Mytilus edulis: one gene and its partner. The protein of the gene in region 2 purifies or fractionates together with the protein of the main gene of each other region. This does not show direct contact. Links are inferred from orthologs where the notes say so. Each region holds a gene or a part of one and is shown on either strand. Other genes may lie near its edges.

Region 1 (11,398 bases), on a different chromosome or scaffold from region 2:
CCTGAAATGAATCGGACAACCCGTTGTTGGGTTGCTGCCCCTGAATTGGTAATTTTAAGGAAATTTTGCTGTTTTGATAAAAAAAAAAATTGGGATCGTATAATGGTATGATGTCGTCTGCGTCGTCTGCGTCGTCGTCCGAAGACACATTGGTTTCCGGATAATAACGTTAGTTTAAGTGAATAGATCTTCATGGATTTTTTTCAGAAGGTTTAAAACCACAAAAAGAAGGTTGGGATTGATTTTGAGGATGATGGTCCCAACTAATTAGGAATTAGGGGCCCAAAAGGGCCCCAAAAACAAGCATTTTTCTAGTTTCAGGATAATAACTTGTGTCGAAGTATTTCAATTGTCTGAAAATCATACCGCAGTGTTTAAAACCACAAGTAGAAGGTTGGGATTGATTTTGAGGATGATGGTCCCAACTAATTAGAAATTAGGGGCCCAAAAGGGCCCCAAAAACAAGCATTTTTCTAGTTTCAGGATAATAACTTGTGTCGAAGTATTTCAATTGTCTGAAAATCATACCGCAGTGTTTAAAACCACAAGTAGAAGGTTTGGATTCATTTTAGGGGTTATAGGGCCAAAGTTTAGGGATTAAGGACCAAAAAGGGGTCAAAACAAGCATTTTTCTAGTTTCAAGGCAATAATTTATGTTTAATTGTATAGATCTCTCTGAAATTGTACCACAATGTACCATATAACAAAGGGGATGCTGGGATTAAGTTTTGGGTTAATTGCCCAAAATATGTAGGAATTGGGGGCCAAAAAGGGCAAAAAAGAAGCATGTTTCTGGTTTCCAATTAATCATGACAATAACTTGCGTTTAACTGTATGGATCTCTCTGAAATTGTACTACAAGGTTCAATACTGCAATGGAAAGCATGGGATTGAGTTTAAGGTTTATTGCTACAAGGGGGTTTCAAAAAGTTGGGGGGGGGGGGGGGGTACTATTTTTTGAAGGGCTTCCTTTTTTTCAAAATTTTTCAAATTTAGAATTTTGAAAAGTTTCAAGAAGAAATCTTCAATTGCACAGTATTGTGCAATAGATTTGTTAGATCTTTGACCACTTTAATGTCAAAAGTTTGATCACAATCCAAATTCAGACAGAATCAAGCTTGAATATTGTGACCAAATTTGCCCCAACTGTTCAGGGTTCAACCACTAGGGTCGTATAAAGCTGCGCCCTGCGGAGCACCTGATTGGTTATTATCTTGAATATTATTATAGATAGAGATAAACTGTAAAGAGCAATAATGTTCAGCAAAGTAAGATTTACAAATAAGTCAACATGACCGAAATGGTCAGTTGACCCCTTTAGGAGTTATTGCCCTTTATAGTCAATTTTTTAACCATTTTTCGTAAATCTTAGTAATCTATTACAAAAATCTTCTCCTCTGAAACTACTTGGCCAAATTAATCCAAACTTGGCCACAATCCCCTTTGGGGTATCTAGTTTAAAAAATGTATGGCGTGACCCGGCCAACCAACCAAGATAGCCACCATGGCTAAAAATAGAACATAGTGGTGAAATGTAGATTTTGGCTTATATCTCTGAAACCAAAGCATTTAGAGCAAATCTGACATGGGGGGGGGGGGGGGGGGGGAATTGTTCATCAAGTGAAAAGCTATCTGCCCTGAAACTTTCAAATGAATCGGACAACCGGTTGTTGCGTTGCTGCCCCGAAATAAGTAATTTGAAGGAAATTTGGAGATTTTGGTTATTATCTTGAATATTATTATAGAAAGAGATAAACTGTAAACAGCAATAATGTTCAGCAAAGTAAGATCTACAAATAAATCAACATGACCAAAATTATCAGTTGACCTCTTAAGGAGTTATTGCCCTTTCTAGTCAATTTTGACAAATTTTTCGTAAATTTTTGTAATCTTTTACAAAAATCTTCTCCTCTGAAACTACTGATCCAAATTTAACCAAACTTGGCCACAATATGCATTATTAGGGTATCTAGTTTAAAAAATGTGTGGCGTGACCCGGCCAACCAACCAAGATGGCCACCATGGCTAAAAATAGAACATAGAGGTGAAATGTAGATTTTGGCTTATATCTCTGAAACCAAAGCATTTAGAGCAAATCTGACATGGGGGTAAAATTGCTTATCAGGTCAGGATCTATCTGCCCTGAAATTTTCAGACAAATCGGACAACCTGTTGTTGGGTTGCTGCCCCCGAATTAGTAATTTTAAGGAAATTTTGCAGATTTTGGTTATTATCTTGAATATTATTATCGATAGAGATAAACTGTAAACAGCAATAATGTTTAGCAAAATAAGATCTACAAATAAGTCAACATGACCAAAATTGTCAATTGACCCCTTAAGGAGTTATTGCCCTTTATAGTCAATTGTTAACAATTTTTATAAATTTTTGTTAATTTTTGTAAATTTTTAGGAAATATTTTCCACTGTAATTACTTTATTTAAATTCCGTATGAAGAAACGTTTCCATCGTAAAAGCACCACAAGAGACGGATCTAAGAGGGGTATACCTTTTTTAATCATAGACTTTTTACATGTTTTACTTGTTCTACTCCTAACGATGCCTAGTTTGGGGCTCTTCAAGCCCGTTTAAAAAATCCTGGATCGGCATCTGTTGTGATCAGATTGTGGAATTCTTTTTACACCTAGTATTAGTGTAGAAATTATTTTAAATATGCACGCAGTTCACGTCGCGTTTCTAGAATGATAATTTGTCTTTTAGGGTGTGCAAGGATTTTAGACAACCTCTCCAAACGGCCTTTTCTGGCATCATATCTGTCATTTATACTGAAAAATATGATGACGTTTTACCTGTAAACTTTGTGTTTGAATGTCATAACTTTTAGACAAAGGTATAACTAGTTTTTAAGTAGTATTGAACTTGGCAGTCAATATGTTATGACCCAGGTTAAACGCAACTGGGACTATTATATGATTATAGTATGTCCAAGATTTTTATACGACCGCAAAAATTAAAAAAAATTTGGTCGTATATTGGTATCACGTTGGCGTCGTCGTCGGCGCCCGAATACTTTTAGTTTTCGCACTCTAACTTTAATAAAAGTGAATAGAAATCTATGAAATTTTAACACAAGGTTTATGACAACAAAAGGAAGGTTGGGATTGATTTTGGAGTTTTAGTCCTTACATTTTAGGAATTAGGGGCCAAAAAGGGCCAAAATAAGCATTATTCTTGGTTTTCGCACAATAACTTTAGTATATGTAAATAGAAATCAATGAAATTTAAACACAAGGTTTATAATCATAATAGGAAGGTTGGGATTGATTTTGGGAGTTGAGGTCCCAACAGTTTAGGAATTAGGGGCCAAAAAGGGGCCCAAATAAGCATTATTCTTGGTTTTTGCACCATAACTTTAGTATAAGTAAACTATGAAATTTAAACACAAGGTTTATGACCATAAAAGGAAGGTTGGGTTTGATTTTGGGAGTTTTTGGTCCCAAAAGTTTAGGAATAAGGGGCCCAAAGGGTCCAAAATTGAACTTTGTTTGATTTCATCAAAAATTGAATAATTGGGGTTCTTTGATATGCCGAATCTAACTGTGTATGTAGATTCTTATTTTTTGGTCCCGTTTTCAAATTGGTCTACATTAAGGTCCAAAGGGTCCAAAATTAAACTTAGTTTGATTTTAACAAAAATTGAATCCTTGGGGTTCTTTGATATGCTGAATCTAAAAATGTACTTAGATTTTTTATTATTGGCCCAGTTTTCAAGTTAGTCCAAATCGGGGTCCAAAATTAAACTTTGTTTGATTTCATCAAAAATTGAATAATTGGGGTGTGAAAAAATTGGGGGGGGGGGGTTAAATTTTTCTCATTTCAGATTTCATAAATAAAAAGAAAATTTCTTCAAACATTTTTTTGAGAGGATTAATATTCAACAGCATAGTGAATTGTTCAAAGGTAAAAAAAATATTTTAAGTTCATTAGACCACATTCATTCTGTGTCAGAAACCTATGCTGTGTCAACTATTTAATCACAATCCAAATTTAGAGCTGAATCCAGCTTGAATGTTGTGTCCATACTTGCCCCAACTGTTCAGGGTTCAACCTCTGCGGTCGTATAAAGCTGCGCCCTGCGGAGCATCTGGTTTTATTTACAACAATATTGTTTATTCAATGAATCAAATCGTGGTATGATATCAGATTATTACATGTCATTTTACATATCGCATGTATTATCGGCCCTAGTTCAATATCAGACCAAGACAAATGGACATGCCGTCACCAAACACATATTCATCCAAAATGACATGTTATGATCTTTTTATCATATGCTTCAACAATGGAGAAAAATAACAGCTAGAATCATATATTCATTCTTTTACGTGGTTCCCAAATAGAAGTTCAAAGAGTGAAAAGTTCACGGACGTCGGACTCCAAATTTCATACTTTCGATATGAAATCTTTCTATCATATGCCTCAAGAAGAAGAAAAATATTTTGAATGGACGAATCAACAAACAAACAAAAAACAATTCAACAATATAAATAATGAACACTGTTTGGAAAAGTCAGCTTTTCTTCAAGTAACTTTCTAAATTATGTTTGAAACTTTTAAAAAATGCATTTATATAGTAATTTGTTTGTTGGGATTTTTTTTTAATTTTTTGTTGTAATTATTTTACACAATATACTTTCAAGTATTCAAATATTGTTTTGTGCACTACTTTGTAAATCAATGTTTTTCACTGAAAACGTAGCATTGAGGTGTAATTTCCGGAATTTGCCGAATATCACCGGAATGCCACGCGATAACGTTACGGAAAGGCATGTGATAACAATCGAAGCATGTGATAAACTTTTCATATCAGCCCGCTAAGCACTAATTCGAAAAATATGGAAGTTGCGTTAACTTAATGCTATTATCATACAGTAAAAATCGTATGTTATTTAGTCTAAGTATATGATAAGTTATGATATACATTTAAATTATAATATAAATTTAAGTTATTATGAAAATTTAAGCTTCTGATCATATAAATTTAAGTTATAATATACATTTAAAAAAAATATAAACAAGTGGATACAGAAACTCTCGTCATGAAACATTGCCTATTCAAACTTGCTTTAAAAAAGAGTCTTATTTGCAGTTCTTTTTCCTCAGTCCAAATGCCGATATTAAAGTCGCAGGACCGCATCACACAACAATGTTCCCGCGTACTCAAATATTCTTTTATACCATAATTCATGATTTAAATTTAATAACGTTGAACTTAATATTTTCCTGGTACTATTACATGTATAGTATACTGTTCGTTTATAGTCCAAATTATGAAAACCTAAATTCTCATTTACTAAGTATTCAAACATTATTCTTTATTTACTTTAAACAATACAGTTTATCAGTATAATATGCTTAAATACACAGTTTACAAGTTGTATAGCGTTAACATACACATAAATAAAAAACGTCAGAAATATCAGTTACATATTATACATTTTGTGAGTTTCAGACTACATATAATAAACATAGGTCTTAAGGTGGTACCCAACACTTCCACTAAAATTAAGTTGGCTCGTTTAATTTTCATAAAATTTTAACAAAGTATTTACTTTGACCCTCTGACAAAAATATCAAAATTTCAAAATATTTCAACCAATCGTTTTATCAGAAAAATTACACTGGTTATATAGCAGTTTGACAAACACTAATTTTGATCATTGAGAAGCTTAATATTCCCTTAACAACACAACGTTATTAAAACATTTAGCAGATTTTACAGAGTTATCTCCCTGTAGTGTTAGGTACCACCTTAAATATTATTCCTGCACTTAAATGCATACTAGAGTAAGTACTTTCCTAAATTACAGAGTTCCTTAGTGTTTTCAACAGAAAGCAATTGTACTAATTTATAAGTTGACGGTCTAGTTCAATAATATTTCTTGATAAACTTTTTATGTATATCATTATTTTGTAAGCCTTGGATTGATTCTGACATCAAAATCATATCATCAGCATACATCAATAAAAAAAAAAAGTGTTATGTCCTGAAATTCAAGTCCACAGTTACCATTATTAATAAATTCATTCTCAAAGTAATTGACATAAAATGAAAATAAAATAGGGGAAAGAACTTCCCCTTGCATTAAGCCAAGATTATTAGAAAAGTATTTTGAATTAAATCCATCAAATATAATACATAGATCTTACATTGTTATACATTGATTTTAAAATATTAAGCAATTTTCCTCTGATTCCTTATTTAGAAATCTTGTACCACAAACATAGACGATCAACTGTATCAAACGATTTTAAAAAGTGAACAAGGCAACAATTTAATCTATTACCTTTACAAAAAGAATTTTGTATGACAGAATATAAACAAAACACAGCATCTACTGTACTGTAACCAGTACGGAAACCAAATTGTGCATCAGATAAAATATCGTTCATTGATGCCCATTTTAGCTACTATTCAAAATAATAGTGAATAGTTTACCTAGATTGCTGACATTAGACTTATACCACGGTAATTTGCTGGGTGGTTCGCATCCCCAGATTTAAATACTGGCACTAGAATAGCATCAGACCAAGTGGACAGAAGATATCCAGAGCTCAAAACGGCATTGAAAATGGTACATATATAAGGCAGCACAAGGTCCTTAAACTCGATGAAAAATTCGTTTAACAAACCATCTGGACCATGACTTTTTTCGCGTTTTAAGTCATGTATAGCTTTAATAATGCCATGCGCTGTCACTTATAAATTCTGTATAATAAAAATAATATTTATGATTTCATCTTGTCACGTTACAGTATAACACATGTAACTTATAGCATGTATAGTTTAAGTTCAGTAACAACATTTTAACATTCGTTTTATTTCGGGGTTGCTGTCTCATTAATATATGAAATGAAGTCAATGTTCGCTGTTTAAGTTAAAGTACATGAGTCATGTCTTTTTTATACCGAGTTGGATCACTCATTTATATCATTTAATTAGTAATAGCCTGAGCTAGCCTAAATATAACATATGTATGTATACATAAGAATTTCCTTGACACAAAAGTTTGAAATATTGAAAATGAAAGTAATGTTGGCTCATACCGCATTTTATTTAAAAATTTTATAAAAATGTTTTTTCTGCACCAAGCCCGCCTGTGTGTATGTACTCAATTATTAATTATTGTTTTATAAATAAGCTCAACCCAATTGGAACCCCGCCTCCAGGTCATGTTTACACGAATGAGTTGTTCCCCCTTAACATTAGCATTTCTCTAGACTTATTATAGTTAGTGATACTAAAAATCCGAGTTAAATTTCCGGAATGTTCTAGGTGTCGCCCTAGTCGATTGTTCTAGATCATTGAAGCCAAGTCGAGAATAAGTTAAGAAACTGGCTATATAAGGCTTGTAAATTCGAAAAATGTACAATAACCAATATCAAAACAGTAGAATGATGGATCTACCTCCCGGATGGGAAATGCTGACCGATACACGGACAGGATGGCCATATTACGTCGACCACAACACACAGAATACAAGCTGGGAAGATCCGAGATTGGTATGTTTACACTTATATTTGAAGTCTTTACTACGTAAAATCAGCATATTAATATAAATATATATATATTTGTAATGCCTTATGAAGTGATAAAAGCAGGAACTCGTACATTATAACACCACAATCTAAATTCACGGAATTGTGTTCAAAAGAGTGTCTCAGGGGGTGGGGTTGTTAAATTTTTATTACTTTAAATGTATATGGGGGTCTTCTTCACTAAGGTTTCCAGTCTTCCATCTGAATAAAGATGATTCACAACTGGTGCATGCATGAGGGTAATAACGCCTTTTAACGTCAGGCGTCAACCAGTCATTTTTCGGCTTCCATTACTTTTCAAATTGGTTAAAATTTACTGTAATTCGTCAAAATATCCTTATGGTGATTCGTCAGAGGTCTCAAACAATAATTGTTGCTGTCAATTTTGGAAATAAAAGAACGTGATGTTTAATCGTCTAAAAGAAAGTGTACATTTTATGTCATACATATAAAATTACCGTTAACGTCATTTGGCAAGAATTTTACCGTTTTTCGTCATGAAGGTACTCCCATTACAACACCTCATGCATGGCCTTTGTGATGAATTTGCAACACTCAATCTGATATTTCAGATAGTATAATGCAGTATATGACACTTAAAATTTTTGAGGTCATTGCTTATCCTTTGTCATGTTTGTGACATCATACTAACCAACAGACAGTCACACTGCACAAATCCTACACTGAAAATATTTGCAATACACTGATACAACTTTAATATGTTTAAAGGGGCATAAGCTGTCAAGATCATGTTCATGGATTTAACCAATGTTCTCATATTGGATTTACAGCTTGCCTTTCCATAATAAATAGAATCCATATATACCAGTCAGAGCTCAGACATTTATAAATAAGTCTGAATCTGCTTTTAACTCATAGAGGTCTAAATTTGCAAGTTTTAAATTAGGATTTGTCTCCCTTTAATGCAAGACAAAATACGACTTTAATAAGTCAAATATTGTTAAGCAAGAAATAATTGACCAGAATCAAAAAGTGGCAAATATCGACTCCTACAAGTCGATAAGTGATCAAAATTGGTTAACTTCAAGACCCACGCATATTTATTTAGAGGTCATGCATCTAAATCAAATAATGACAACATTGAAAGACAATGCTTTGTCTTCTAAAGAAAAATATGAATGAGAGTCTAAAAAATCGGAGATAATGTTAATTAACCTTACAATGCAACCACCTGGAACCACACTTAATGAGGTAAAATATCTGTGTTTAGTAAGGATGTTCAATTAGACAATTAAATATAGATAGCTCAAGTCCTTGTGAACTCTCAGACAGGTTTTTGCTGTCATAGGTGGTGTAGTTTGGCCACCAAGTGAAATTAAGTTTTTTCATCAACACAAATAGACCTAAACAAGTCTGTGGTTCATGGTACAAATGTACATGTAGATATAAGAAGATGTGCTATGAGTACTAATGAGACAACTCTCCATATCCTAGTCACAACTTGTAAAAGTTAACCATGGTTCCTGACATATGACAGGTGCAAACAAATGCAATGGGTTTAACCCTCTTGCCGCTGGAGGGACACATGTCACTGTCCACACCGACTGTGCCGGAGGGACACATATGTCCATGTTTTTATTCATGCAAGCTTCTCCACAGTGATGTATGTTTTTCAAATGAAAATCTAAAGATCAAACATGGTTATAAAAAAATGTATGTTTCATCAATGGGTCCCAAGTGTTACAGATATTATTGCATATTGTTGGACATCTTAAGTCAAAGACGTTGAGCTGTCATATTTTTTAGCACACAAAATGCAACCTTGAAAATCAAATGGCAGCAGGAGGGTAATAAAGGTTTTAATAGGAACCAACCTTCACCCTTTCCTGAAATAGAAAAACATGTACTACATGTATAGAATATCAGTTGAAATGGCTTAACTTATAAATGCAAGACAAGTGAACATACACTGAACAAAGAAATTTATTAAATCCAGATGACACAATGTAAATACAAAATCAAAATCATAGTTTAAATTTAATGTACTATTATAGGTTTGTCCAAGTGACAGATTATCTACATGAGCCATGGAAACAGAGGTAGAGATTGACTCAGTGTTCTCCCCAGGCCGTTTTAGCCGACGCAATATTTTTTCACCGTGATGCTATAATAATTCCCGCGACGCTATAATTATTTTGAAGATGCTATTTTACTTGTCCTCAATTTTGAACTTTCATCTATCATCGATTATGATCATAAAAATTATATCACCTTTAATTGTAATCCCTTTAAGTCGGACACTAAAGGCAATTAAGAGATTAAATAGCTAGGTGTTAATTGCCCTCAGGGTGATAACTGTTTGGATGTGAATATCCCAAGCTGACACTTGTGACTAAACCAAGTGTCACCAATTTCGACATGGAAAAATGCAATCACAAAACAATTCGAAATCTATGTTTTGTATTACGAAATTTCAAAGATTGAAACGATTTTTTTGATTTTTTTAAAGATCGTTTATTTGTGCAACTCTCCAAAAATAACTTTTTTTCTCTTCCGGTAATACGAGAGCGAGAATTTTGGTTTAGAGCTAAAATAAGTTTAATACTTCTGTAACAAGTTATCATAATTGGCTTAAGTTTATGTTAAATCCATTCAATGCATTAAAAGCGTCTTATTCATTCACAATCTCTTGTCAAACAATGTTTATTCTCGGACTCATTTTTCGTAAATTTTCTACGGCCGCCATTGCACATTTTTGTGTAAACTACGGATAGGAACCGTACCAGATATGACAAAAATCCGCATTTTCACGATAATGACAACAGATGGACAGTAGACAGAAAAAATATACCAAGAGAGAAAACTACGCATTAACAGACTATTTGTTAGATAACTTTGTTAAAAATACATTTTGATGTAAAGATAAGAAACAACTGGGACTAATTCATTGAGTGCCTTTAAACAATGAATTTCATAAACATGATAAAAAAGTTTTTAAATTGATTTTTTTTGCTACTTTATCTTTAATTAATATAATATAAAAAATAGTTAATTTTGTGTACTAGATATTGAGTTTTGTATATTATATACAGGTTGCACTATAATGAACCATTCATTCATTTGACTTATTGTTGTATTGTTGGGTAACTGAAACCACATATTTATTTTTGTTTGGCACAAAAGGAAAAAAGTAATTCTGTAACTATAAATGAATAAAGAAAACATAAACTGAAACAACTGTTTTTGTGGTTATAGTTTAATTGTATTCTCAGTTATGAATTGAACAATATAAGCTAAAACATATAAAGGAAATAGAGCATCAACGCGACACGACAAATGACATTAAAATAGAGTAATTTTTTTTACGCAAAATGTGATGCTATCCAAAATTTTTGGGGAGAACACTGTGATTGTTACATGTGTATGTCCTTTAAAATGGTCTATACAATGTAGCATTTATAACTAAGATCCCTCAGGATGGGGGCATAACTCATAAGCTAGACATGACACATGGTAAGTAAGGGTACTAAGGTGCTTTAAGGCCATTTGGAGAACATTGTACTGCTATAGGGTTTATCATGTTTATTCCTCATTCTAATACAAGACTGGGGCAATGCTATAGAAAGCCCGCAGGGTTCTCACTAATGATTTTTAAAGGCGAGTCAATTGACTCATCATTTTTGGCCATGATGAGTCCAGCAGTAAGAAAAAGATATTTTAATCATGTTAATGCAATATGATTTATCATTTTAGTCTCCATGACCAAATAGAACAATGAAATGACATTAAATTTAGATTTCTTTTAAACTTTTGCTATTAAATGATGATATGTGCGTTCAGTTTATACAAAATTTACAATCTTGATGCATCTTTGGAC
Region 2 (11,386 bases):
TTAAGAAAGTTATTAAAATTTTAAAAACTTTAACCACAGAGTGAATGTAATGTTTCCTGGCAGAAAAACTAAGTCCATTTATAAGTCAAATTCGGAAAACCAGATTTTTTTTTTAAAATTAACTTCTGGATATTATCTTATGATCATAAACAAGCACTGTCTATGTTTGGTAGAAATCCACAATAGTTTAAGAAAATTATTAAAATTTGAAACGACAACAACATGCAGGATTGCTGTCTTGCTTTTTTGATAAAAGTGGAAGGCTCAACAAAAATAACTCTGTATAGGTCTGAATATTGCCTACCTTTCATGGTTCTGTTTACATAGTTTCAAAAAGTTTTGGTATGATATTTTTTACAAATTCTGCCTACATGTCATTGCTGAATGTTGGTTTACTTTCTTTACAAATTATGTTCTGGTATTATATTTTTATACATATAATACACAAGTATATATTTCATGTACAGTTTTACACAAAGGATATTTTAACAACACACCCATGCCATGTATAAACAGCTACTTTGGAACAAGATTCAAATAAATATTTCTTTCCTTTTGTCAGCTCTGTACCGAATATTTCTGCCATTCCATCAAGAAGCTAGAAAATAAAAGTGAAATCAACATTAACTACTGTATCCTAATTAAATAGTTTTCAGATTAACTCCTGTATTAATGGTATTTTTGCATTGAACACTTAAGCTCTCTGCTGTTGTTATAACAATGTAAATTTATCACTAAAGCTCTCTGATGTTGTTATAACAATATTCTGAAGTTTTTAGTTTGATGTCTTTGTTGTCATAATACATTTACCATAAAATCTATCCACTCTTAATACTATAAATTTACCTCTAGAGCTCTAAAGCCTATTACTATGTTCTACCCAGGACACATTTACCTCTAGAGCTCTAAAGCCTATTACTATGTTCTACCCAGGACACATTTTCGAATTCAGTCTTCACGCTGAGTGGCAGCCTAGGCTAGTAAAATTGCTCTTGGGCCTGTAAAAATCATATCTACAGGTCAACAGAGTCTAACTTAAAAATTTCAAAACTTGAGCTTCAGGCCTGTAGATTTAACAATTCATCGTGAAGACTGCGAATTTCATTCATTAATTTTCAACATCAGTCATGAAACCAAGTAACTTGGTATAATTCAAGCGAGCATTTTGATGTAAAACAAAAATTACATTAATAGCTATTGCTTTTCCAAAGAATTTTAATTCTCTGTGTTATAAGCGAGCCATAAATGTACATCTAAAGCCTATGGATTTTGTTGCAATGAATCACCTATAAACCTTTGTTTTATGCAATAAAAATACTTTAAACTGAAGCTACATGTAAACTGTTGTTATTTCAGTATGTCAATCTTTCAAGTTTTTTTTTCTTTTTTTTTCTTTTAATATTCCTTTCCCTAAATCTTCATATATAGATAGAGCTAAATATTGTAGTTATTGCAGAGCTAAATATTGTAGTTATTGCAGGATATTTTATAACTGTTAAAATACCTCTAAAGTAGCTGTAGCTCTGGCTTCTACTTCAAATCTTAGCTCCTGATCTTTCTCTAGCCTATATTCCTCCTGTAATAAATCAAATTATCATCAATACAATGATTGACCTTAAAAATAATGACTGACCTTAAAAACGATGATTGACCTTAAAAACGTAACAATAAAAAAAGATCAGAACTGATTAATTACAGATGTAACATAAACTACACTATTTGTGTCTACCGTATTATAAACAATATAGAGAAAAACATGCATGCCTAGGAACTCCAAGAGGGTGTACCTTCACAAACCCATCAATATATGTACTGATAATAGATTGCTAATTTGATAAATGAATTAGGAAACAACGAGATCAAAATATATCTTTGGTTTGGACATGCTTCATCAGTCAGGAGTACAGTACTACTTGTAAAAGTAATCTTTGTTTACTTGAAGAAGTAAATAATAATATAAATATATATTAAAGTAAATTTTGTTTTGTTCATTTTTTCTTATAATGTTTGAATAATCGCGCGATATGTCTCCCCTTATCATTACTTGTATAAGTTGGTTTTTTTTACAATCCCAAATTTTTCTCATGTAAGAATATATGTCTTCTACAATTTTGATCAGGTTAGCTCAAAATTTTTCATTGGAGTTTGATGTTTCTTCTGATTGATTTCACAGAGAAACTAATTGCGCCAAGATCTTAAAAGAGGGAACAAAGATACCAAAGGGACAGTCAAATTCATAAATCGAAAATAAACTGACAACGCCATGGCTTAAAATGAAAAAGACAAACAGACAAACAATACTGCACATGACACAACATAGAAAACTAAAGAATAAGCAACACGAACCCCACCAAAAACTAAGCATGATCTCAGGTGCTCTGGAAGGGTAAGCAGATCCTGCTCCACATGTGGCACCCGTCGTGTTGCTTATGTGATAACAAATCCGGTAAATAGTCTAATTCGGTAGGTCACATTCATGAAAGGGAAGATGATTGTAGTTACTTTGTAAGGAACATAATTATCCGATATCATTTGTGAAACGGTTATTCAATAACAGTCAACCAACTCGTCATCACGTCCATAAAATTATTGAAGGAATGATTTAAACTTCACCATTTGGAACTCTTGGTTTAATAGCATACGTGTGAGCAGCAACTCTCTATCAAGAAAATCATGATAGGAAATGCAAGCACAGGAATATCGTATCAATTGGGAGATGGGAGATATATACCCCATATGCAAAAACGCTGTTTTTTTGGGCTTGTAAATGAGAACTGTTCTGAAGATAATAGACAAGGGAAATTTTCATTGTCCATGAAATTACACTAAAATGATGAGTAAAGACATGATGGTCACATCTGAAAAGGACAGTCAATTAAAAATTCTATTTGCACATAGAAGTCCTGAGAAATTCAATGAGAAGAAGACAGCCGGAGATACATTTTGTACATGTATGTACATAACATCCCAATAGGTCTCCAGTCACAAACTTTTAGCACCAACAAAGAAAGAGACATACGAGATAACAATGAATATGATAGGAGAATATTTAAAGATTTCAGGGGGATTCCAGGAAACACTAAGCCTTGAAGAATTCCGATACAGTGCCTAAACAATTTAACTAAATTAAACAATGTGACATTACCCAGAGAAACTACAAGTAAGCACAAAGAGACCAGATGTGTCAAAGCTAAATATTGACCGTAGGATCAGGATCACCAGCCTCACTGTGACTGCCACTAGTCAGTTTGCCAACCCTTGATGGGTTTAAACAGGCACTGGCTATCTTCACCATTTTCATAAATTGTAGTTATTGGATTATTAACTGTAAATACTTGGTTTTTTTAACTGTATATCATTATATAGAGGTGACTGTATGGCATGTATGTGTCAGTGTGAATATACTCAAAATGAGTCCTACACTTAATCAGAAGAAACAATTCAACTAATTTATACCCAAAATATAACATATATATGTCGATCATTTAATTGTTACATAAAAACAGCTTCTCATACTGTTATTTTCAAAAACAGGACGTTTCGACTTACCCGAACATCCGCAACCTCAATCGTAACAGCAAAAACAAAATTAAAGTACATGGAGGAAAATACATGGAGGAAGATACACATAGGGCGTAATATGCACCAATGAGAAGAGTTGTGCCATAAGGCCATAAGATTGAGATTTGAGGATCATACATATACAGACTCGTTCTCTTTGTCAGGTAACATTTTTGTCAAAAATTCTAGGCTACAGAAAATTAAACGAACAGAGAAAAAATGTTCCTGTTGAGGCTGTACATACTAAGTCTTTAGTCTTTAGAAGTGTCAACTTGACACTATAATCTCTATCTGTAATTTCGATCACTCTGGTAATTTTATGGCTCTATTGTATTAAAATCATTAGTACATTTGTATTTATGATGTGGCACTACAGAGAAACTAAATAAACTAGTATCTCAATTGTTTGTAAAACAATTGAAAGGTCTTTCCTGTAAAAGTAATGTTTTCTTAATGTTCTTTGTACGACCTTTCGTTTGATATACGACAAGCATACCTTCTGAAACTTTTCGCTTTTTACACTTAATGACCTCATCAGCCTACATTTTTGAGATCGGAAGTATGATATATGTAACACAGGGTAGATGAGATTTCGTTTGATATGCGACAACGCCATGTTCTAAAAAGTTTGATTTTTACACTTAATAACCCTACCCAACTAATTTTTGGAGGTTGGGAATTTGATATTTCAAATGTACACATCATGACCTTTCATTTGATATACAACAACCTTACCGTAAAAGAAGATTTATTTTTTGCACTCAATGACCCCATCCAACCCATTTTTGGGAGACGTCAATTTGAAATTTGAAATGTACGCTTTATATTCTTTCATTTGATATGCGACAACCTTACCATCTGAGAAATTTGAATGTTTGCACTAAATGACCCCACCCGTCCCCCTGGGATGAAAAAGGGGTTTAAAATTTTCATTTTTAAGTAGAGTTTATTAAGACCTTCAATATGATATATCAGATGACCCCATATGACAAAGTGCAAATAATGATGTAATATCAACTATATAAATAGAAGTTATGAAACTTACAAAGTCAATGCAAAGCTTGAAATTTTCAAATTGATTTTTTGGTGTTTTTTTTCCATGGAATATTTTTCGTATTTGGTCAAACATATAACTATGTCAACCTCTTCAATTTCTAAAACATTTTAAGTGCTAAGCTCTGGTTGATTCAGAAATACATGCCTCCGCTCGCAAAACTTCAAACTGCATTATCTCAAAAACGACAATAGATATCTCAAATCTGTTAAATGATAAATGATCTACAGTTGAAGGACAACATTATAGGAAAAGAATTGAAACAATTTGAAAGTTCAACAAGGTCACAATTAATCATCAAATATATGATGCAAAACCAAACTTGAGAACCGGAAGTCGTAGAGACATGGGACTATCACCATTCAACTCAAGACCACTTGACCTTTCAAATATCACAAGGTCAAGGTCATAGTATAATATGAAGGTCAAGGTGAAATTTCATCATGACCTGACATTGACCTCAAATTGAAGGCCTTGAATTACTGATCATCTTTGCTGTTGATAGTAGGTTGATATCTGTTACCTTTAAAAAGATATACACACAATACTATACTTGTAAGACTCATCCCGTTGTAACTTTTGAACAGACGGTCGGACATTTTTGGGCTTATTGTATAAAATGTAGAACTCGTTGTGAAGAACATTTTATACGCTATATGTATGCAGTAAAGTCTTATCGTTTTTCTAATATGTAAGCTTGAGATTGCAGCGTAATTTTTTTTTTGCACTCGGTGACCTTTGACCTTGGATGCATATTAAAGGTCATATGAATTTAAGATTATTGGTGAAGGTTCCAAGTCTCTATGACTTTCGGTTCTCAAAATAGAATTTTTGAAAAATTATTTTTAAATTTTAAAGGGAAATAACTCCTTATAAGGGATGGCAACAAATTAATTGTTTATGTTTATAAACATTTCCATCTGTTCTTATACATGCTGTCATTTTCAATTCAATTCTATCTCTAATACTTTTTGAGAAAAATGCAAATAAAAGAAATTGTTTCAAGGGGATATAACTCTCAAAGGGGATGATGAAATCTTATGCAGCCTCATATGGTAATACATCATGATGAGATCTACCTATTGACCAATTAAAGTTATGATACCTTTTAACTAATTTTGGGGGGACCATGTTGAAAAAAATCAATAAATGGGAGATTACTCCTCAAGGGGAGGGTGAAATCCTACAAAAGTTCATCTGGTAAAAGTTCATGTTGAGGTCTATCGATGGTTCAATTTTGGTATTGATAACTCCAATAGAAGCGGTAGGAGGGCCTGCCAAAAATACAAATCCTTGTTCAAAGGATTCAAAATCAGCTTTGTGATCTTAAGCCATAAAACGTTAAAACAAATATGTGTATATTAAATACCTCTTTCTTTTCTTCGGACATGTTTTATTCCTGTGCCGATGAGCAGCAAAACTTCTGCTAAATTATGTTTCAACAAAATTTGTTTCTCATGGGGGCTGCCATTTTAAAAATTACTCTTTAAACATTTGATTTTTTTATGTTCAGCATTTCTGATTTAAGTTCTTTGTATTTGAATTATACTTAATATTAAATAAAATTTAATTGATACATAATTTCTATCATTAATTATCAATGTTTAACCTTTCAATTCATATATACTCTCTAAATATAGTCAAAATCATTCATGCGTTTTATACGGAATACACTTTACAGAGACGGATAAGCTTCTTGTTTGGAAATAATATTGGCCTACTTTCTGTTCTATTCTTTTCTATTCTGTTCCAAAAGAACAAAACAAAGATTGGTAAGTTGATTAGTATTGAGTAGAATTAACTAGAGAAAAAGGCAAGCATGTATATTTATCGAAAGCTATGAACGAAAAAAAATGAAATAGAAAAGATGTTTTTTTGCACAGAATTTCAGAAATTATAAATGATTATAGACAGACTAAAGAATCTTATTTGTATATAGTGGCTATAGTATTTTTACCTGATAAATATTGAATATTGTACAATGTATTCTTTATGATGTACATGTATATGAGACAAAATTATAGTTACCTGTACCATTATAAACTTGTACCAATGTCAACTCATACCACTAAAAAAAACTTGTACTAATGCAAACTTGTACCACTGCTAACTTGTACCACTGTAAATTCATACCATTGTAAACTTGTACCAACTTATATAATTATTGAAATGCATTGAACATTTTGAAATGGTGTTTAATGATGAATATACAGTGGAGTAGTCCCCGGTGTCTGCGCGGCCCGTGATATCGCGCATTAGCTTATTTTGTCATATCAACACAGTATCACAAACACAATCGTTCTTGTTATTGTTTTAGCCATCTGAAGGGATAAAAAAGAATAAAATTGATAAGTTCAAGAGTTAATTAATAACTGCAATCCCGTAATTTGCCATATTTGGCCAATTTCCGTTAAAAAAAAATACATCATCAGATAAAATTTGTTTTATTTAAGTCAAACTTATATCAGATTGAAATGATTTTTGCTCTGCATCCTTGGCAGTGTTTTTGGTTCAAACTCAGCTATATTTCGTAGTATAAAATCTTTTCTTTTTTTAAAATAAGCTATTTTTGGAAGGCATGCGCGAAATCACCGGACATTGGAGGAACTCTCAGAACAGGGTTTCCCTAATTTTGGACACATATTACACAAAATCTTGAGGGTGAAACCATACAAACAGAAGATTTTATGAAATAAAAGTATGTTATGAATGTGTTCACATAATATTATTCATTTATTGGTTTTATCAGTTGAATGAAGTGAAGTCATAAGTCTTAGGTGAGCGGATACACCGGACTGCACCGTATACTTTAATTTCACTCAATACCTCTTAAGTCTGTAAAATGTATAATATGAGGCAGGCATTACCTGTGAAAGGGAACGAAGTCTATGATTTTATTTTAATTCAAACATATCTTAATTTCGAAACGGAAATACCGTAATGTTTCCGATTTTGGTTCTCTTGTTAGGGATTTTAGTTGTGCCGTTATTTAAGTTATGACGTCATATGCAATTTTAACAAAGAAACGCTATCATTAGGTAACGTTTTTTCATATCAAGGAATTATTAAAAAAATGAAATTGATATTGCGTTCCTTCCTATTTTATACTAAACTGATAAATATATATATTTTACTCAAAATTTCATGCAAACAAGACCGGAAAAAGGAAGAACATTGTAGATTTCTGCGCAGATGCAGGAATTCAAAACATGACATAAAAAAAATTGAACTATTTTGAGTTCATTAGTACAATGAAAATATCGGGAAAATTTTTCCGTTTTTTTTTTTTATTGAATTTTCTACTGTTATTGGGGACTTTGTCCCCATATAATTTGAAATTACGTTGACCCATGTGTAGCTTATTTTCCATGTCTAACTAATTCCCATAATTGACCCTGTTATTATAGATCGCTTTTTTTAGTTGTCTCTTTTATGAGGTACATTAATTTGTATTTACAATGGAGAGCTACAATGTAGCAGAAAGAGCAAATTAACCTGATCGTAAATTCGTAATGTGAGTAATCGTTCACACAATGACAAGATCAAGTTAGAATTTGTTCCGTTACAATGATTTTTGTCGAGCCTTCGACTTTAGAAGAAAAAGCGAGACAGCGATCCTACATTCCATCGGTGTCATCGACGGCGTCCACAAATATTCACTCTGTGGTTAAAGTTTTTGAAATTTTAATAACTTTCTTGAAATATCCTACATTGTAGATTTCTACCAAACTTGGACAGAAGCTTGTTTATGTTCATAAGATAGTATCCAGGAGTAAATTTTGTAAAAATAAAATTCCATTTTTTCCATATTTTACATTTTTTTACTTATAAATGGACTTAGTTTTTCTGCTCGGAACCATTACATGTACATGCAATCTGTGGTTAAAGTTTTTAAAATTTTAATAACTTTCTTAAACTATCCTGGAATTGTACGAAACTTGGCCAGAAGCTTGTTTTTCTTCTAGTTAACATTACATACAGTCTGCAGTTAAAGTTGTTAAAACATTTTTAAGTTTCTTAAACTAGCCTGGAATTTTACCGAACTTGAACAGAAGCTTCTGACAATCAAAAGATAGTATCGAGAGGAATAATTTTGTTGATTTTTTTCTTCATTTTTGTTGAGTGTGTGATTAACAGCAAAAGTAGACAGGACAATGGGTTCCGCGGAACCCTTATAAATTTTTTAACCAGATTGGGACTATTTAATACCATGCAATACTCACAATATGCTTGTTTTTGGGGGAAAGACGGCTTCAAGCCGTCAATCCCATATGGGGTTGACCAGAGTGACATTCCCTCACATCATTCATTTTGTTTTTATAGTGTGATTACCCCCAAAAAATCTTACTGAGCTTGATGAGAAGGAAACACACAAATGAAAAGATTGACTTTAAATACTTTTCTACATATTTCCCTTCTGTTTCTAGCGAAATTATCGTATTTTGAGCTCTCTTTTACACTATTTACGTTTCTTTTACAATCCGGAAAAATCAGTGACGAGATATTCTAAATATATCCAACCTACATTATATTTTATAATGACGTCATTGTTGGAATGCCACACTATGAAGAAGCAGGGATATTCTTCACTGGTTATTTAAATCATTCTCAGAGTTCGTGCACTAATTGTAAATTATTTGTTAAATTTAAACATAATTATGTTTGCTGTAGATGATTCAAACATCAACATGCAATACTTTAATTTGTAGGTCAACAACTTTCAGAGTAAACAAGGGTCGTGGAGATACATGTACATGAGATCGGGGAGAGAAACAATTTTTTTCATTTTTTCTGTAAAATTCTGTTCTGTGAATCTTCCTCCAAATCAGGAGCACCTCAATTGATGAGTAATTATCCACTAAAATAAAACTTGAAAATGTGACATTTAGTATATGATTAGTAGTCTTCCATTAAAACTAAATTGTGTGTACCAACAAATAAATCATTGTAATGGTAAAAAATGTTTCTTTTAAAAAGTTGCATTTTATAGTTTAAACCTATAATAATTTATTCATGAAATTTACAAATATTTCAAAATGTAGGATCTGGAAACAAGCTTCACACATTTTACATCAATCATATTATTTTTTATTAGTACCTGTACCCCTGTGATGAGAGTTGTAACTGGGAACTTTATCAATGGAAATTTGAAATTAAATAGATTTTTCAGTCCTAACTTTCTTAAGAAAAAAATTAAAAATCTTAGAGTACTGTCACAAAAAATGGAAAATTCAGTTCAGTGGTACACAATTAAGATTTCAGAAAACATTGTAGTTGTTGTTAAATGACAGAAATCAGTTGAATTTTACATAATTAACTATCAACTTTAATCGAATGTTTAGATTTAGAAGATGCAGATCTCTTGGTCCAAATTGAATCATACTAAGGAAACAAAATTAAATTAAACAACAATTGACTTCAATATTGTCAACCTTTCTACATGTTCTAGCTGTTCTCTTTTTTCATTCTTTATATATGAAGACTATCAAAAGATACCCCCCCCCAAAAAAAAAAAGAAGAGACAAGGGCCATCTTTCCCCTCAGAGCTATTCAGCTCTTTGATTTCTGAAGTGCTGCCCAAAAATATATTGATATAGTTAATTCCTGAATTATGTGTGTTGCAGAATTTTCGGTTTCAAATTTTGATCCAATTTAAATACAGTAATTCTGTGAAGATTATATGTGACAGAGGACAAACAACATATCAGTAGCTATTTAAAATAAGCTTTTTCTCACTGAAATAAAAATTTATGAAATAGATCTGGATGTTTAATTTTACTAATAAGGCCTCTTTATAAATAATGTTTTGAGTGTATAAACAAGTCTGAAGAATTGTTAAAAAAAGAACTATCACCAACTGTTATGGTCTGGACCTTTAGCCAAAACCCCTATGCCCAAGTCTAGTAAAAATTTGATAAAATTTGTATGTAGGAAAAATCTTAAAAATACAGATTTAGCAAGTAGCTGATATTTTTTTTTTGCATAGACTGATCAACATACATTTTTTAAAACAAATCACCTTGTGCTATGTGACCCTACAATAAAACAAGTATGCTACATTCATGAAAGTTTTAATTTTTTTGTAATCTAGGAAAAGTACAAAATGTACCACCCTGACCTTTATGACCTTTATTTTATGCTTCAACTATAAATCATTTTATTAAGCATCTCATTCTGATTTCATTCCTTAAATTTCCTATTTAATAAAGTTATTTAATTTGTTTCACCAACAAACTGGTAGATGACTTGCTTAGTTCAGGTCTAACTCATCAATTTCGGTTAAATTAATAGACTGCAGTGATAAGTTCAGTCAAAGTTATTAAGACCGGTTCAACATATTTTAGGTTACAAAGCTGCAATATGCAATTTTATAAGAAGCTGAGCAGAATGATACAGACAGTGAGAGGACCAATAATAATCTCTATGTCTGTCTCGCACAGTTTTCAAGCCAGCTCTCTGAAATTAAATTTCACTGCAAGATTGCACATATGTTGAAGTTGTGCATCTGCTATTATGGAATTGTTTGAGGATTTTTTTTTCTCAATTTCCTGACATAGGATTTTTTTTTTAATCTAGTCACAAATATTGCAAAAATTGTTAAGTGGCAAAGTAATTGAAAGTAAAACAGAACGATAGGTACATGTATTTGTTTTGATATGGTTTTACAAAATAAGGTTCATGAATTTAATGAAATCTTATCATTGTTTTAATTCTGATTCATTGTGCCCCTATTAATGTAACCACCAACCAATCAAAATCTGTTGAATACCT

Evidence for each region. The genes of interacting proteins can lie anywhere in the genome.
Region 1: the proteins of dnaJ homolog subfamily B member 6-like (region 2) and BAG family molecular chaperone regulator 3-like purify together in Homo sapiens (co-immunoprecipitation; 3 studies listed by BioGRID and IntAct, with this or other methods). This does not show direct contact. The link is inferred for Mytilus edulis from reciprocal best matches to the Homo sapiens genes DNAJB6 and BAG3.

Annotation. Positions count from the first base shown.
Region 1 is NC_092355.1:71,845,570-71,856,967, forward strand, and holds the start of BAG family molecular chaperone regulator 3-like, read left to right. Parts: upstream 1-7,289; 5' UTR 7,290-7,386; coding exon 7,387-7,524; intron 7,525-11,398. UniProt on the Homo sapiens protein: Co-chaperone and adapter protein that connects different classes of molecular chaperones including heat shock proteins 70 (HSP70s), e.g. HSPA1A/HSP70 or HSPA8/HSC70, and small heat shock proteins (sHSPs), e.g. HSPB8.
Region 2 is NC_092345.1:102,189,025-102,200,410, reverse strand, and holds the start of dnaJ homolog subfamily B member 6-like, read left to right. Parts: upstream 1-6,263; 5' UTR 6,264-6,387; intron 6,388-11,386. Other genes in the region: polyribonucleotide 5'-hydroxyl-kinase Clp1-like, read right to left, coding at 485-598, 1,505-1,576, 5,985-6,005. UniProt on the Homo sapiens protein: Has a stimulatory effect on the ATPase activity of HSP70 in a dose-dependent and time-dependent manner and hence acts as a co-chaperone of HSP70. Plays an indispensable role in the organization of KRT8/KRT18 filaments.